3 linked regions of the Canis lupus familiaris genome follow. The protein of the gene in region 2 purifies or fractionates together with the protein of the main gene of each other region. This does not show direct contact. Links are inferred from orthologs where the notes say so. Each region holds a gene or a part of one and is shown on either strand. Other genes may lie near its edges.

Region 1 (6,186 bases), on a different chromosome or scaffold from region 2:
ATACTGAAAGACTACTTATAGTCCAATTACTTACATAAGTATGAACTCCTCTACCAAATCATTGTAAGAAGTGGCAATGCCTCTGCTTGAATGCCTATGATGATGGATAACTCCTTCCTTCACAAGGTGGCCCATTTTACTTTTATAGAGCCAAATTCTCTCCTATCAAGCCAACCCCTCTTGGAATTTCCATCCCTTGATCCTTGTGCTACCTTCCAGAATCACACAAAGAAAGTCCAGTTCTCTTTCTACAGGACAGTTAAATACTTGAAGGCACATATTGTGTTCTCCCAGGATCTCAGTTTTGGTCCTTCCAGCTCTTCATGTGTCATAGCCCAAAAGGAGACACATGAAGTCTAATGGGCTGCTTGATCCCAGGACCTGAGGATCACTGTCTGAGCCAAAGGGAGAAGTTCAATCACTGAGCTGCCCAGGCTCCCGTCTTTCAGTATTTTAAATCCTGTTTTGTTTTTTTAAAGATTTTATTTATTTATTCATGAGAGAGAGAGAGAGAGAGAGAGAGAGAGGTAGAGACAGGCAGAGGGAGAAGCAGGCTCCCTGCAGGAGCCTGATGCAGGACATGATCCCCGGACCCCAGGATCATGCCCAGAGCAGAAGGCAGAAGCTCAACTGCTGAGCCACTCAGGTGTCCTTACACCCTGTTTTTATATGGAAATGATGTCAAATTCCTGTCATTTTGATCTGTAAAAAACTAACCTTTATTGCATACTTACTGTGTGCCAGCCATTTGTTAGATGCTTTCCCTTATTTGCTATGTGGCCTTAAGCAAGTTATTTAACCTCTCTGTACTTGTATCTTCATATGTATAACAGGGAAGATGATTTTTGCCTCATATAGGACAGTAATGAGGGCTAAGCTAGATAAAGTAAAACACCACTTAGCACACAGCCCAACATATACCAAGCTCTCAATAAATGCCAGAGTCACTTTTAAGAATGTATTCTAATTAGTAAATATCTCTCAAAGTAAGTAGCCATAATTAAATATTAACACCAAGGGATTGTTTTCTGATGGAAACTGTCAGGGCTTGTGTTTTTAAAGCCTAAGAAGTTATGTGAGTCCCTCTGCAATGGCAGCCCAAAGAAGCAGTGGAAAGGAATCAGTGACCCAAAAGAAAGGTAAGTATCACCATACTACATGTTGTCTATGATTCCCTCTTTGAGACCCAGGACTGCACATGTGGACAACATTCCCTAATACAAAAAGGAGAGAAGAAAATAATTAGAGAAAATTTTAAAAATTATTAAAGTCACAGTTCTGGGTCTTTGCAGCATTTGGTCCCTCAAAATCCAAAGACGTTTAACAGAGGGCTTTAAGATCTTCAGTTGTATCCTTTCAGGTCCTAAAGCCTAGGTGTGTGAAAAAAGAACCTAATATGATGTCCCATGAGTCACTACTGAGTTTCTTCTAGCTAGAAAATTTGTCAGTGCATGACAATTCTAAAACCCACAGGTGGCAAATCGCCAATGTTAATATCATCACCATAATCATCACACATACTCTCTTTCTTTTAGTAAGTCCAAGGGAAGGAGTCTCAGGCAGAACTATGGATTGTTGTCCAATTATTCTTCAGAGTTGACCCAAAGCACTACAAATTGAGATGTGGGTTGATCATAAGTGCCCCCAAATAGATAAAAATATCCCAGTATTAAAGCAGCAGGATCATAAACTATGGCAGAAAAGGCTGCTTCCCACCTGCCAATGAACTACAACAACCTGCAATGAAGCTTCATTGTTAAGTCTCAGAGTCAGCCCAAATGAGCCTTTCTAGTTACTCCCTAGTCTGTGCTAGAGGATCCAATTATCATACTCAACAGACAAGATTCAATTCAATCTCTTTAAAAATATAAGAATTACAAGGAAGAATAAGCCAGAACTCAAACCAGAAATAGCCTTAAGTAGTTCCCTCACTTAGTGAAGACACTAGCCACTCAGGAGGGACTGTAAGGTACAGAAAAAGCTTGGTTCAGACCACTGGACAGAACTGTGCCCTAGGCAGAGACTTCCTAATATCTTTGAGTCAGTTGGTGTCCTCTGAATCGTCACCTTCTCAAAACCGTTTCAGACTTTGTTAAAAGGGAACACTTAACTGCCACTTTACACTGATCATCTACCGCATCCTTGGGAAGAATGGGGAAGTTACAGACACCCTATCAGGTTTCTAAACTCATAAACTTAAGAGGAAAACTTTAAAGTTGCTCTACCACTACCTCAGGAAGTTAAAAAAATAGTCACAGAAGAAAAGGACTTTGAGGAAAATAGTCAAATTAGGCAGTTAGACTTTAGTCATAAGTCTTGATACCTCTTTTCTTAGAGACCCTGGTGGTACACCTGCAGAGGAGAGTCAGAGGTCACTAAGCAAATTCAACCTGGCTGGCAAGGGGGCGTCCCACTGCAGCTTTCAGTGACAAGAATTGGATCCCGCTGGTCGGTTCACAGTCTCTCTTCTATTCCACACTTCCTATTTCCCTTTGAAGTGGGTACTGAATAGCTGGTACCCAAGTAAAGGCCCTCTGTAAGGGCGTTACAGTCGCCCGGAGGGAACACCTTGGCAGAGTTCAGCTTGGTGCCAGGATGGGCCACTGAAGGCATCTGCGGCTGCAAAAAGCCTGACCACGGACGGACACACGGACACACACACTCTCTCAGAGAGAGCGAGCGGGAGGGCAAGAGAGAGAGAGCGCGAGAGCGAGAGCGAGCGAGACAGAGCGAGAGCAGGAGAGCAGGAAACTAAGAGAGCAGGTCAGGTCAACGTAGCCCTCCCGGCATTTCCACCTGCCCCCTTCTTCCTGAGACCGGCGCCAGATCAGATGTCAAACAAAAACTCCGCAAAAAAAGTCCCGTGATGGGACGACTTCCACCTCTCCGCTGGCAGAGTCTCCCTGGATTCCCAGAGCCTCCCCCCCCACCCACGTCCCGGCCAACCCTCCATCCCACTCCGCCCCCGGCCCACTCTGCCCTTCGCCCCAGCGAGGCCTGCCCCCTCTCGGGACACCCCTGAGCCCCGAGGCTGGCGGCCTCAGGCCCCGGGGCCGGCAGGGCTGCGGGCGGCCCAGAGCGGGCGGCCCGTGTGCTGGGACTGCGGGAGCCGGTTTTCGCTCCGGCGCCCGGCGAGGGCAGGGGGCGGTGGCTACCGGTACCTGTCAGGCCTCTTCCCAGGACCGGCGGCGGCGCAACTTCAGGAGCCCATGTCCGTCCGGGGGGCCCGGCCCCTCTCCCGGGAGGGGGGGGGCGCGGATCCCGGGGAGGGGGCTGGGGGCCCGGGCAGCTCTAGCCCCTTCCCATGCTCCCCGCCCGGCGCCTGGCCGGGGCCGGACAGCGCCTCCGCCCGCCCCTGCGCACCGCCTCACACCCGCGCTCACACACACTCACACTCCCTCGCGCGCTCTCACACACGCACTCCCCTCCCTCCTCCTCCTCTGTTTATCTCCTCCAGCTGTCTGGGGACCCAGGAGAAGCCCGGCACCGCGCCTGCGCCACGCAGTCTCCGCCCCCGCCCCGCGCCTCACAGCCGGCGGCTACGCTACGGAGACGGCGTCCGGCGGCTTCCAGAATGGCTAGCCGGGCCCCTCCCCCGCCCCGCGCGCCCGGTCAACGTCTGCTGCCGGCGGTGCCTACTAACCTGCTAGTGGGGGAGCCCCGCACCGCCGCGACCAATCCGCTCCTGCGCTAACCGGACCGGCAGCCAGTGGGCAGGCGGGAAAGCCGGACTAAGCCCCAAGGCATCCTGGGAGTCGTAGTTTTTCTCCGTGGAAGAGCTCCTGCCGCGTGGGCTCACCCCGCCCAGTTGCCATTAGTTACCCTGACGCACCTCCCACCCCACATCCAAGGAAAATGCTCCCTCATGTGGTTTCTGGGACACCCATCACACTCACCCATTGCCCCTCAGAGCCCGACGGAGTCTCCTAAGAGCTCCACAGAGACTTTTCAGACTGGGGCCCCAGTGCCTCCCTCCCATCCCCCAGAGCCGAGCTTCATCTTACTTCTTCCTGCCCTGGGGGGCTGCTGAAATGGCACATTCCTCACTCTTGCTCCTGGGCCTGAAGGAGGCGGATAAAAGGTAATCAGTCCTACAACCAAGTGGCTTGGACGGGAGCCAGCCACACACACTCTGGAAACTCTCAGCCTGACCGAGAGAGAGAGACGGGGTCCATCTGGGACTAACGGTGGAAGCACTGCTGTTTCCCGCCTCGAAGGAAGAGGCAGTTCCAGCCTAGCGGAGTGCCAAGTCTGATGGAGGAGACACCGTCCTCTCTAAGGAAGTTCCCAAGGTGACAAGGGAGGAGGCATCTTGCCCAACTTCTGAAGGCAGAGACCAGGCCCCACCCATGAGGCGCCTCAAGTCAGAAAAAGAAGATACTGTCATCATCTACTGAGAATGGAAACTTGTCACTCACCCATAGGGTGGGTGCCACTTGTCAGATAACGATAATTAGCTTTTATTTAGCATTTACTGTGTCACCGCTATATGAAGTACAGTTTGTTAGATACTCTTACTGGGTTTTGCAGAAGAGAAAGCTAAGGCACAAAAAGATTAAAAGCAACTTGCCCAGGGTCACATAGCTGACAAGGAACCAAACTGGGATTCAAACCTAGATCTGCATTACTTCAGAGTCTGAGCTTTTTGAAGACTCCCTGTCCCTCCAGTGAGAACCAGGCAGCACCCACTCTCAGGAAGGACTAGACATATTTAGCATCCATAGCGCTTGTTCCGTGTTTATCACTCCACGAGTTGCTTGTTTTTTCTGCTTCTGCTCACATCAAGTGTATAAATTAGTCTGTGAGCTCCCAAAGGGTGATTTCTTCCCATTTGGAGGAGTTAGAACCTACTTGAATTCAGCTTTGTGAAATGTTTTTCTCTTGTAACTGTGGGTCATCTTCCTGATCTCTCCCCCCATAGATGTTCCACTGCATATAAAATATCATAAACTTTGGGACTAGAAGGAAGCTTTGAGATTCTCTCTCCATAGCTCTCCAGGCTCAGGCTGAAACCTGGCTAAGGTCACTGGCTCAATTAAACTGAATAATAACTAACATGTATGGAACACTTACCATGAGGGGTAAGTTCTGTCCTCACAAGTTGCATAGCTAGGAAGAGATACAGTTGGGATTCAAATCCAGATTCTTTGAATCCAGAATTCCCATTTTAAACTCTTGCTCTCTGCTGGCAATATCACAGAGGCTCTTAAAAATACCAACAGAGAAGTGTGGGTGATTTGTCTGTGGCTCCTAGCAGTCTTTGACACATAGTAGATGGTAAATATTTGTTGGCAGAATGAACTTTTGTTGGTGAGGAATGGATGATAGGATAAAGAATATTAATAAGAGCTGGGGGATGCCTAGGTGGCTCAGTCGGGTCTGACTTTGGTTCAGGTTGTGATCTCAGGGTGCTGGCATCGAGCCCCACATTGGGCTCTGCTTGTCCCTCTCCCTCTCACCCCCCCCCCCGCCATCGCTCATTCTCTCTCTCAAATAAATAAAATTTTAAAAAGAAAATAGCTGCAGCTATAGTTAATTGATTATTTTCTACCAGGAGCTCACTTGCCCTCTCATGTACTCTCTTTCTGTTTTCTACATATATGAATATATGCATATATATTATATGTGTATACTGCATATATATACGTGTACATACATATGTATGTATATGTGCATACATTTATCTATGTATACACATACATTCACATACACACTAACTCATTTGATTCCTATAGCTACCTTATGAATTAGGTATTATTCTTACTCCCATTTTCACATAGGAAAGACAGGCTCACAGGAGAATTAAGCTCAGAATCAGGCACCCCTCCCAGCCATAGGTGTTTTTGGATAATTTCAGAGAAAACTTTCTAACCTATGGAGCTGAGCTACTTTGGGAGGTTGTAAACCCTCTGTCTTTGGTAGTATTCAAGGATAGGATGTATAATCATCTGTCCAGGATACTATAGGAACAGTTGGTCTATTGGGTAGATATTTAAGTGACTAATTCCAATATTTCCTTGTTTGGCTTTTGGAAGAAGACAAGGATTATTCAAATAAGGCTTGTGACAACGAATGTAGCTCCTTTTTCTCTCCTAAGTGCACTGGATAATGCCTCAATTGATCAGCTCTGCAGAGGTAGTCACTGATACAAACTTTTTCATCTGCTGATTGGATACTTGGGCAAAA
Region 2 (6,200 bases):
TTTTCAAATGCAAATTAGCCAGAGAGACTCAGTTCCTGACCCTTTAAGGTGAATGCTTCTTGGGAACAAAGGATAATACAAAAGTCCTAAGTGCCTGGAGGTAAACAGAACTAGGACTAGGCATTGCAATGGGGGGTGTGGTAGGGGGGTAAAGTTACATCAAGGGAGGAAAGAGTTCTGAGAGTACCTCTTGCTGACTTCACAGTATTGCCTGGGGCCAATCCTACTTTGTGATGGCTGCATATTTAAGATCTGGCTAAGTTTATCTCAGCAGCCAAAAGCTTATTCAGAGAAATTTAAATATTTTTATAAGCAAAACAAAGACCAGACATCAGGAATGTAGATTTGGGGCTATACATAAATGCCCAACTCTGAATTAGTCACCATATGGATGTTTCTATTGTCAAGTGATCTGTTTTTCCTGATTCCATTAAATGTCCTTTATTCCCACCAATAGCATTATTTTTCTTGCCAATTCATTTGGTCACTCAACAAAAATGTATTGAGCAACTACTCTGGGCAAGGCATGGTGCTAGATGTCATAAGGGAATACAGAACTAATACAAAATTCCATTTGTGGTTGATTTTATAGTTTTTCAAAACACTTTCACATACAATCTTATTTTATCCTCATAACCACACTATGAGATAGGTCAGGTGCCATCCCCATTTTACAGATGAGAAACAGGCTCAGGGAAGGAGGTTAAAATGACTTGCCAAAAACATGAAGCCCACAGACATAAACCAAACCCACTTTTTCTCTAAACTCAAATATGGTATTTCTCATAATTTCCAGTTTAAGCAGAAGACATGCCACAAAATTGTCTCAAGTAATAGATAAGTTAGGAAAAGACTTTCAGAGCCCCACTCACCAAGAGGGAAAAAAAAAAGAAATAAAAAAACTACTCCTTTATTGTGATGAGCCAAATCATAGTGCCTAATAGGAGACCAAGCTTGGATTCAGTTCAGGCAGGACGCGGCAGCAAGCAATGCACATTCAAGGAGACAACAATTTGGTTTTAGAGAATCAGAATTAGTCCATTCTTTGGCTGGACCCTCAATCAACGGCTGATCTTCACCAGAGGTAGAAACCAGCTCCCTCTCCTAGCCAAATCCTGACAAACACTAAACAAGCCTTGCCTGAGGACCTCTTATGATCCAGTCCCTGAGTATACAAAGACAACCCTTGCCCTCAAACAGTTCCCAATTGGCCTAGTGGGTGAGGCAGACAATTAGAGGACAGAGTGATAAAAGCTGCTGTAGGAACACAGAGAGACACCTGCACAGCCTAGGAAGGTGGGGTGGAGTAGAGAAAAGGTGGAGGTGGGGAGTTACAAAAAGCTTCCAGAGAAAATAATAGCTTCCAGAGAAAGTAATTCAATTTAAATCTGTGAGGGTAAGTGGGAATTAGCCAGGCAAGAAGAGTGGGAGGGGGCAAGGGGCCCAAAGAAGGAAAACAGGGCGCAGGTTTAAATCCTGAAGGTGAGAAAGACTAAGACATACTTACTATCTTCAAGGAAACTCGTTCTCAGGGAATAGTTTGTCCTAACCAAAACCCCTAGAGTATTGAGGGAAATCAAGGCAGCATCTCTGTCTAAAATCTGGTACAGTAATTCCTAGGCCTCTTAGCACCAGGCCTGACTTACCCCTACTTGCTGTTGGAGTGGTAGCTACTGATAATTCTTACTTTGAGCCACTAGTTCAGGAACTGGGGGGGGGGAGGTGGAGGGGTGGGTATGAGGAGAGATAAGCATGGGAAATAAGGTAATGAGAAAGAAGTGAGATAATACTTGTGCACATGTGACCACAATACTGGACAATGCTACAGGAACCAGATAAACTAAAGCAGAGTTTGGGAAAGGGCAGTCAGTTGAATGAACCCAGCCAGCTGCCTATTTTTATAAATAAAGTTTTATTGGGGTGGGGGAGTGCCTGGGTGGTGCAGTTGTTCAGCGTCTGACTCTTGGTTTCAGTTCGGGTTTGATCTCAGGGTAGTGATATAAGGCCTCATGTTGGGCTCCATGCTCAGTGCAGTCTGCTTGAGTTTCCCTCTCCCTTTGCCCCTCCCCGCTGCACGTGTGCACTCTCTCACTGAAATAAATAAATCTTTTAAAAATAAGAAAGTTTTATTGGAATACTGCCATACTCATTCATCTACATATTTTTTGTGGCTGCTTCTGTGCTAAAACAACAGAGTTCAATAGTTGGGACAGGCCATATGGCCAGCAAGAGCCTAAAATATTTCCTATGTAATCGTTTACAGAAAAAATAAATTTCTGATCCTTTGCCCTTGAATATACTAAGTACTAATAATAGATATATGGAGACTGTTTAGTGGTGGCCTAAGGGAGGAAGTGATTCAAAACATGCTACAGATTTTCTGTTCCTAGTCTGTATCAACTTTGATATGGACCTCAAAACATGACAAGAGAATATTCTTTAAAATTTTTTTTTAATTTTTATTTATTTATGATAGTCACAGAGACAGAGAGAGAGAGAGAGAGAGGCAGAGACATAGGCAGAGGGAGAAGCAGGCTCTATGCACCGGGAGCCCGATGTGGGATTTGATCCCGGGTCTCCAGGATCACGCCCTGGGCCAAAGGCAGGCGCCAAACCGCTGCGCCACCCAGGGATCCCCGAGAATATTCTTTAATAGAATGACTAAATGGGAGTATATTTGCACAAAGAAATACTACACGACAGTGAAAAATTAATTACAGCTATATGCATAAATCACAAAATTAATGTTACACGAAAAAGGCAATAATTACAGAATATATGCAATTGACAATTTTTTTTTGTAAAGCTCAAAATTAAGGAAAACAATGGATAGAAAATATAGAAGGGAAAAAAACAAAACAAAATCCAGGGTAGGGGATTGCTCTGGGGGAAGCAAAGGGGAGAACTTAGGTAGATTCAAAAGCATTGTTAAATGTTCTAGTTCTTAGTTTGGTGATGGATTCATGGGTGTTTGTTTTCTTACTATGCTCTATAAATTATATGTCACACATATTCTTCTGTATGTATTAAAATTGTATAATAGTTTTTAATTTTTATTGTTATTATTTTTTTCTTTAAAGATTTTATTTATTTATTCATGAGAGACACAGAGACAGAGACACAGGCAGAGGGAGAAGCAGGCTCCATGCAGGGAATCTGACGTGGACTCGATCGGGGTCTCCAGGATCATGCCCTGGGCTGAAGGCTGCGCTAAACCGCTGAGCCACCCAGACTGCCCCTATTGTTACTATTTTTTTAAGTAGGCTCCAAAACAGTGTGGAGCCTAATGTGGGGCTTGAACTCATAACTGTGAGATCAAGACCTGAGATGAGATCAAGAGTTAGATACCTCACCTCATTTGACTTTTACTAGTTTATTTACTCACCATTATCTTCTGAGATGGCTGCATCATCTCTTCCATTCCCTGATTCAGAGGGCTGTGACATGGTCCATCTTTGGAGGACTACATTAGAAAATAGAGAATTCAGGTTAACAGCAGTTCTCTCCCATATCTCTAGTTTTCTGGATCCATTGACTCTGGTCTCAATCAATTGCATCCTATTTCATATCTTCAAGAAAATACTCACAATTTTGGCTGGCTCATCACACCCTTCCCGGTTATCCCTTATGGTTTCGGGTCTAATATTTAGTTTTCTTCTTTCATTTAATGCTAACTTGGGAGAAAAAGCACAATTGTTCAGACTAACATCTAAAATTGGAAATCTGCCATGCCCTTTTAAATTACTATGGCTCGTGCCCCCCCACCCCACTCCCACACCCACCCGGGGGGGATTCCAGGCCAACAAACAGACCCTGGTCAAGGGGTCCTCCAGCTATTTCAGAGGGTCTCAAAGTCCAATCTCACTATGATCCAAACCAGGTCTCTATCTTCTATATTGGCCTCTTCATCAGACTACAGAGCCATGGTTGTTGGGATCCCTCTTCCACGCCGTGGTCACCACCTGGCTGAGAATTTTCTCTGCAGGTAACTATGGCTCTGACATGCTTTTGCCTAACTTACCCATATCACCAGTGAATAAAAGCTATAACTTCTATAGCAACATATCTCTTTTAAACGTCTGAGAATAACGAAAAGAAGTATACCACAAAATAATTTAAAGTGGCCAGAGATGAGCCTTGGCTTAAAGTCTCTTGGCTCCAAGTCAGGCACACAGCCAGTAAACTCCTAAAGGATACCCTCCTCTTTCCATAATCTCTAAGGAGCTTTTAACGCACTGCCCCAAGACCAACAGGATTTGTTGTGGTTACCAGCGTTCTGTTAACATCAGAAAACCAACGGCTAGGAATGCGGACAACAACTGACCACCGACGACCGTTAGGCATGCTAGCAATTCGCGGGCTTTTTCCTAAGAAAGTGCTGCCCACTGAAGCTTGAGTTCTGGTGCTTTTAACGGTTTTCAAGGATGATTGATTGACAGCAGATCTGACCAATCCTTTCATGGGAAACCCCACTCGCCTAACAGGGGCCTGATTGGAACCAAAAGCAAAAACATAAAACTCGGTCATCTCTCCACCTCTCTTTTCTGTATTGCCTCATTCTCTAAGACTCCTTCACATGATAGAGACATGGTTACCAACTGCTTTGGGGTCACATCCTTACAGTTTAATGTCCAAAGAAAGGAAAAAGCTACTTCTTTACCTCTGATTTGTATTATTCCAAGGAAGGTCTTGTATCTCTGGCCTAGGACACATGCCTACCCTTTGGAGCTGCCATTGTGTCCAGCAGAGTTTGATATTATGATTAGCCCATCCTGGGTTAGGTGCAGAGCTGGGTCTGTGGAGGGTGCAATGGGGCAAGTTACTATCATTACCTGTCCCACCAGTACTATATTGAAAGGACAGTGAAAGAGAAACAGCTCTCCAAATGAAAAGGAGTGCTACTACTAGAAGCAGGGAAGAAAGAATGCTGGGCAAATCAAAACAGCAGATGTCCACTATATAGCCTTCTCAGTTTTAATAGTGTTTAAATTGCATTTCTTGGATTCTTTTTTTTTTAAAGATTTTATTTATTCATGAGAGACACACAGAGTGAGAGAGAGAGGGAGGCAGAGACAGAGGCAGAGGGAGAAGCAGGCTCCATGCAGGGAGCCCGACGTGGGACTCAATCCCGGGTCTCCAGGATCACACCCTGGGCTGAAGGCGGCGCTAAACCGCTGAGCCACCTGGGCTGCCCCATTTCTTGGATTCTCAATGCATATCATCATATCATCTGTAAATAATTATCCTTTTTTTTCCTTTTTTCCTTTTAGATTTATACAACTTATTTCATTTTCTTGGTTTATTACATTTTAGAACCTTCAAAAAACTATAGAGGACATCTGTACCTTATTCCTGAAATTGATAGGAGAGAACTTGATCATGATGCTGGCATATGGCTTTTGAAACTCTTTCCTATATTTAGAAAGTTGTCTTCTATTCTTTTGTACTTAGAACTTTTTAAAGATTTTATTTGAGAGAGACAGAGAGCCTGACCTGAACAGGGAAGAAGGGCAGAGGGAGAGGAAGAAGCAGGTTCCCTGCCGATGCAGGGCTCAATCCCAGGACCCCAGGAATACAACCTGAGCCAAAGGCAGATGCTTAACTGATTGAGCCATTCAGGTGCCCCTGTACTCAGAATTTTTATAAGGAATAGCTGCTGGTTTTTATCTGGTACCTTTTCGCTATCCATTGACAGACAAGACTATATAAAAAATAAAAATTTTGTAAGGAGTGAAGTACAGAAATCACCTGTAAACAATAAGGAAAATAAAAACAGAATGTAGACTCCATCTTCCATGAAACTAAGAGATAAATGTTACATGAAAGCTTAACTTGTGAGAATGGAAAGCAGGTTGACAGGTAACTGAATAATACTAGCTAGAACTAGCAAAAGCACTCACAATATACTATGGACTGTTCTAAGTTCCTCACATATGTCACCCCAGCAAAAAGGTTTATTATTTGTAAAAAATGAACCAGAGAGTGATCCAGATGCTTATGATATGGCCGGTTCTGCTTGTGAAAGTTCATTGAACTATATGCTTATCATTTGTGCATTTCTGTATGTTACTTATTAGTAAAAAAGTTTTTAAAGTAGACTAAAAAACAAGTAAATGAAAATGAACCAGAGAGATTATAGATTTGAAGACAAATAAAGATAGTGGAGTGTGCTCCATTGAAAATAAGGGGAATAGGGACGT
Region 3 (6,121 bases), on a different chromosome or scaffold from region 2:
AATCACTATCAAAAAGGTTTTTAAGTGCTGTGGACAGTAATGCAAAATTTATTTGTATGGTTTATATAAATTCTAAGAGAAAATTAGAGCATAAAACACTTGTCCAAAAATATTTCAGAACTAAGTCTGGGAATTAACTTTCTTGAACAATTCTTCAAAATGTACTTGTATTTCATATATACATAAATGCTATAAATATCATATAGATATTCAAAGATACACCCATGTAAAATACATATGCATGTTTTTTTGTCAAAAGTAATAGCAAAATGACAAATAGTAAAGACTATCAATGTCATACACTGTAGCCTCTCCCAGGACCGAATTCCCACGAACGTCACTGAAACTATGAGTGTAATTTACAGTTCTTTATTTTAAGTCAATGAAGCTGGAGGAATAAGCCAATCTTATATAATAGAATGGAGAAGACAGACAGTAAAAATGCTAAATGAATTGCTGCTAAATACCAATAATGAACAGAAGAATTCAAGTGAATTCTTGATAATATTCTGTGAATATTCTGTGTTTAAAAAATTCACTTTGTACTTATTCTAGAAACAATGAATCCCATAAAATTAAAAATGTATTTCATTCCATTTTGGAAGAAAATTTTAAGAGGTTATTTCATCTAATCTCCCATCCAAACTAAGAAATCAAAAATCCTAATTACCAAAAATAATCTTAATGCTGTGAAAATCATTCTTAGGATATACTTGTAAATAACACCAATTTCAAAGTAAATACCATTACTGCACAAATCAGTTAAAAAAGCAAAACAAAACCCAAACCAAACCTTTATGTAAAATATCTGTTGTTTGCCAGGCAAAGTGGCACTTAACATGAAGTGTCTTAACGTGATCAAAAGAAGCTGAAGACAGATTTCTAGAACTATCCAAGGGAAATTAAATTTCTGATTAGAGGAAACGTGCAGATCTGTCCCTAAACTTTAATACCAGTTTAATAACTATTTCTGTGAACCATAGTAAAGAAAACAGAAACTTTAAAAAGTTTACAATGTTGCCATTTAAATGAAAGCAGTTACTACATTCAAGTAGTAGGAAATATTGAAGAATACTTACAGACTTTATAGCAGGTGGTATCCTCTTCCAAAGATATCTTGCATTATTCCTAATTTACATCCCCCCCCCCAAAAAAAAACAATAAGCAATTAAAAAAAATCACTTCGGTAAATGTTTAAAATTTTAGATCTTACTGCAAACACACAAAAGTATAGTTTAAAATACTCTGTATCTTATGGAGTCAAATTTAGTTTTATATGAATTTGTCCAGGGGAAGAGTAGCTTTTCAGATAAAAAGTAATAAAATACTTTTACAAAGTAATATTTTGCCATCTTTATAGTGCATTTTTAATTTATGATCTAGACCTTAAATTAAGGTAATGGTATGCTAAAAACACAAACACTGAAGTAGGTCATTTCTTCATAGATAAAAATAGGCAAATCTCTATACTTTCAAGGCTCTGGAGTTCCCTGACAACGTATGTGATACACATGCTTTCCTCCTTATCATGAACCCTCCTCTGACCAACAAGTGCAGAGCCACCAAAACTTCAAGAGTTTGAAAGCTTGAACTACAACAAACATATGTCAGGATCATGAAAATGAAATCGACAGCTCATGGGTATACGTCTAACAGAAATCAGAGGCTACTTTTTAAAAGATATGAAACAAAGAGCTTGAATAGAATTTAAAACAACACTTAACAGTAATTACTGACGACTTGCAGCACCAGAGGGACTCCTGTGCGCTTATGCTTCCTGACTTTTCTTCAACGAGCACAAATTAGGAATAACTAAAAACAACACCTTTCAAAGGATCTCATACATGTCATTAAACAAATTCCTCTCGACCTTCTCTATCTTCCCTTTCAGTTTCTCTGGATTGACTGATTACATATGAAATTAACAGGAGCCCATGGAGGTTTTATAAAAACAAGAAAGGTCCAGCAGCCCGGGTGGCTCAGCGGTTTAGTGCCACATTCAGCCCAGGGACTGATCCTGGAGACCTGGGATTGAGCTGCACGTTGGGCTCCCCGCATGGAGCCTGCTTCTCCCTCTGCCTGTGTCTCTGCCTCTCATTAATAAATAAAATCTCGGGATCCCTGGGTGGTGCAGCGGTTTAGCGCCGCCTGCAGCCCAGGGTGTGATCCTGGAGTCCCGGGATTGCATCCTGCATCAGGCTCCTGGCATGGAGCCTGCTTCTCCCTCTGCCTGTGTCTCTGCCTCTCCCTCTCTCTCTGTCACTGTGTGCCTATCATAAATAAATAAAAAATTAAAAAAAAAGAAACATCATAATAAATAAATAAAATCTCAAAAAAAAAAAAAGCAAAACCAAAAAAGGTCAACAGAATTAAAGGACTTTATTGACACTGCTGTTTCTCACAACAAATTAGAATGTGCTTTTAGAGAATATACATAAAACAAGTGTATTTTAAAACGACTGGGCCTAGGCACTATCCGGTAACACATGAAACAGGTGCATTAAGTATTATGATAAAAGGCACAGAGCTCCTTGCGCCTTAGGGTTTCGCTGATGTCTTCCCAACGCGAAGCGTAATTTCTGTACAATCCTCAGGAAGCCACTGCTCTCGGCTTTGGGTAGAAAAGTACTTACATGTCATTGTGGAGCAGATATAAAGCTAAGAGCTGACCGTACACGGGGGGAGTGGCAATTCCTCCAGGAGCCTGTAAGGCCAAAAAAAAAAAAAAAAAAAAGAAAAAAGAAAAATACCTTATTTACGCTTACACTTAAAAAAAAAAAAAAAAGGATTTTATTAACACCAACGTAAAAGATAAACCCTATAGTACTTAGAACTGCAGATGTAGAAAGTGCTCCGAGAAGAGACAAAACACTAAAAATCGCACTGTTGAGTTCAGATCTGCCGTCGCCTGTGATTTCTAGGTCCCTCCAAACTTCTGTGTCTCCGTAAGGACAAGAATATGTAAACTGAGGACGCCTGGGGGGGGGGGGGGGCTCAGCGGCTGAGCATCTGCCTTCCGCTCAGGGCGTGACCCCAGGGTCCTGGGTTCGAGTCCTGCCCCGGGCTCCCTGCATGGAGCCCGCTTCTCCCTCTGCCTGTGTCTCTGCCTCTCTCTCTCCCTCTTTCTCTCATGAATAAATAAACAAAACCTTAAATAAAATCTTAAATAGCTGCAAACAAGGAAAGGGAGCCCCCGGGGCGCACCCCCGCGTCCCCGGCGCCCCGCCGGCCCCGTTACCCTGGAGACCGGCACCGCCCCGGGGGCCCCCTGCCAGCGCGCCGCCAGCCGCCACCTCGAGCTCCTGGTTCTCGCACTGATCCAGCAGCTTCTTGAAACTGAAGGCGCCTTCCGCCATCACCGCCACTGGCATCTTCCCGGCCGGTCCCGCCGCCGCACCCTCGCCAGAGCCGACCCACGACTGTCCCTCGGGCCGTCGCGCCCGCGATGACGTAGGCGGCCGCCGCCGCCGCCGCCGCCGCCGAGCGCCCAGGCGCAGCTGCGCCGTCGCTTCCGGCGCGTCGTCGCCGCCGCGCTGGCCGGCGCTCTCGGTGCTCTGGAGGACCCGCGCGGCCTCGCGGGAAGCGGCTTCCCGAGCGCGCGGCCGGAGGCGGGAGGGGCGGGGTGTGCGCGGCGCGGCCTGACACGCATGCGCACTGCGAGGAGCGGCCCCGGCCTGGTGCCTCGACCGCGGGAGGTCGCGGGAGGCTGGGGTCGCCCACACGCGCCCCGCCTGCACCCCCAGGCTCCTGAGCTCTGAAACGGGTCCGGTGCGGGCTTGCACCGTGCAGCCCGCCAGGCTGGGCCGCTCCCCGGGGCTGGGGACCCTGGCCTGCTGCGGAGGCGCCTGGGGGGCGGGGTGGGGGGGGGTCCTCGCCGGCGGATGCTCTGCGGCGCTGTCTGCAGTGACTTGCTGTTGGGTTGCCCTTCGGGTCACCGCGGGCCCGGAGGCTTCTGTTCGCGTCCTGCTGCAGGCCCGGCTGCACAGTCCTCAGGTCCGGCTATAGAGTCCGCAGGTCCGGCTGCACAGTCCGCAGGGCCCGCTGCACAGTCTGCAGGCCCGGCTACAGAGTCCGCAGGCCCGGCTGTGCAGTCTGAAGGCCCCGCTGCACAGTCTGCAGACACGGCTGCACAGTCCGCAGGCCCGGCTGCACAGTCTGAAGGCCCCGCTGCACAGTCTGCATGTCCGGCTGTACAGTCCGCAGGTCCAGCTGCACAGTCTGAAGGCTCGGCTGCACAGTCCGCAGGTCCAGCTGCACAGTCTGAAGGCTCGGCTGCACAGTCTGCATGTCCGGCTGTACAGTCCGCAGGTCTGGCTGCACAGTCCACAGCCCCGGCTGTGCAGTCTGAAGGCCCGACTGTACAGTCCGCAGGCCCGGCTGCACAGTCCGAAGGCCCAGCTGTATAGTCCGCAGACCCGGCTGCACAGTCCGCAGGTCCAGCTGCACAGTCCGCAGCCCCGGCTGCGCGGTCTGAAGGCCCGAGTGTACAGTCTGAAGCCCCCGCTGTATAGTCTGCAGACACGGCTGCACAGTCCGCAGGTCCGACTGCACAGTCTGCAGGCCCAGAGCAAGTGGCAAATGCAGGACCCTGGTTGAAAAAATGGGAGGGGACGCTAGGGGTCATATCATGCAAAGCTTTCTCCTCCGACTGGAGTGTACCTCACCTTTTCCTGGTACTTTCTGCTATTTAGTAAGACTCTAAGTAAAGAAAAATTAAAAATTTAAACGATTGCTGTGAATCTTAGCATCCATCTTCACATGGTGCGCCGCCAGGTTTAAATTGAGATGTAAGTGCGTCGAACCCCACTGGGGAATCCGAGAAATCACGCAGTTCGTGTTTCATAGCTCATAGATGCGCTTGTATGTTGTTCTTATTAAAATCGTGGAAATGCTGCACAAAACTAACAACTATTTTTCATGCACTTTATGTTCATGCTCGACCAGCTCTGGCTCACATGCAAATGCTCTGTCGTCCCTATGGGCTTCACTCTCCAAACATGCTCAAAGGTAACATTATTAAGAATTTCGAGATAGCGACAGCATCACTGATTATTTTTACAGAATCAACACTGTTCCCACGTGGCAATGACTGTATGTAATAATGCTTTGGATGGAATATAAAGATAAACCACTATAAAACTCAAAGAATTGGCAACATTAAGTAGGAATGTACACAGGGGTGCCTGCGCAGCTCAGTTGGTTGAGCATCTGACTCTTGGTTTTGGCTCAGGTCATGATCGTGAGATAGAGCCCTGCGTTGGGCTCCTCGCTCAGCGGGAAATCTGCATGAGATTCTCTCTCCCTCTCTTGCCCCGCCCCCCCACCTCATGCTCTTTCTCTGTAAAAAATAAAATAAAATAAAATAAAATAAAATAAAATAAAATGAAGGTACAGAAATATCTTGCAGAAGTGGAGATATTTTGGAGAAATAAAGCATCCAAGTTTCATCCATCACACAAAGAAGAGGACTGAGGGGCAAAATGATTCTAAGACCCTTTGACATAAATTTGACGAGCAAGATTTAAAATTATTAAATTGTAATAACAGCTGCCTAAAATATTGGGCAAAGAAAGATTCAGTGGGATCAACTTCCCAGCGGTTTGATCATTTAAAAGGAAAACTATGATTGAAAGCTTTGGCAGATACTCTGGGCGGCTGAAAGGTGAGGACATAATAGATGGTTCTTTGCTGAACAGAAAATCTCGGTGAGGCTTTGGACACAAAGCATGGGTTACAGGTAGAATTTGGGGTGTCATTTGAAGGATCAAGCTGTTCTCTAAAGACAGGTACAGGCATTTGGGGATTGGAGGCTGGGAGTTGGGAGAGGAAGAGAGGACAGGGAAGGAGGGCTGCAGGCAAGAGCATTGTTGGCCCGGGAACAGAGAACTCCGAGTGCCGAGAAGGGCTGATGGATTTCCAGGGCTGGCATCCAGTTTTAGGTTGTTACTGTGCATGCTGCACCGGTCTTTACCTCCACACTTTCAATAATACGCAGGAGGAATGGAGGGGACAGGAGAGAGGGCGGGCTGGTGTACAAGGCAGTCATTTCAGGAGGTGGGCCTCAGAAGAGAGATCAGGACTTGGCAGCAGTAGGCAAGAGAAGAGGCCGCCGGGAAGGGAG

What was found.
Region 1: the proteins of CUL4B (region 2) and WDTC1 purify together in Homo sapiens (affinity purification with mass spectrometry; 4 studies listed by BioGRID and IntAct, counting the BioPlex papers as one, with this or other methods). This does not show direct contact. The link is inferred for Canis lupus familiaris from reciprocal best matches to the Homo sapiens genes CUL4B and WDTC1.
Region 3: the proteins of CUL4B (region 2) and COPS8 purify together in Homo sapiens (affinity purification with mass spectrometry; 7 studies listed by BioGRID and IntAct, counting the BioPlex papers as one, with this or other methods). This does not show direct contact. The link is inferred for Canis lupus familiaris from reciprocal best matches to the Homo sapiens genes CUL4B and COPS8.

The regions. Positions count from the first base shown.
Region 1 is NC_049223.1:72,404,323-72,410,508, forward strand, and holds the start of WDTC1 (WD and tetratricopeptide repeats protein 1), read right to left. Parts: upstream 3,461-6,186; 5' UTR 3,162-3,460; intron 1-3,161. UniProt on the Homo sapiens protein: May function as a substrate receptor for CUL4-DDB1 E3 ubiquitin-protein ligase complex.
Region 2 is NC_049260.1:93,266,953-93,273,152, forward strand, and holds the start of CUL4B (cullin-4B), read right to left. Parts: upstream 3,573-6,200; 5' UTR 3,558-3,572; coding exon 3,386-3,557; intron 1-3,385.
Region 3 is NC_049246.1:48,062,445-48,068,565, reverse strand, and holds the start of COPS8 (COP9 signalosome complex subunit 8), read right to left. Parts: upstream 3,461-6,121; 5' UTR 3,372-3,460; coding exon 3,294-3,371; intron 2,705-3,293; coding exon 2,634-2,704; intron 1,129-2,633; coding exon 1,080-1,128; intron 1-1,079. UniProt on the Homo sapiens protein: Component of the COP9 signalosome complex (CSN), a complex involved in various cellular and developmental processes.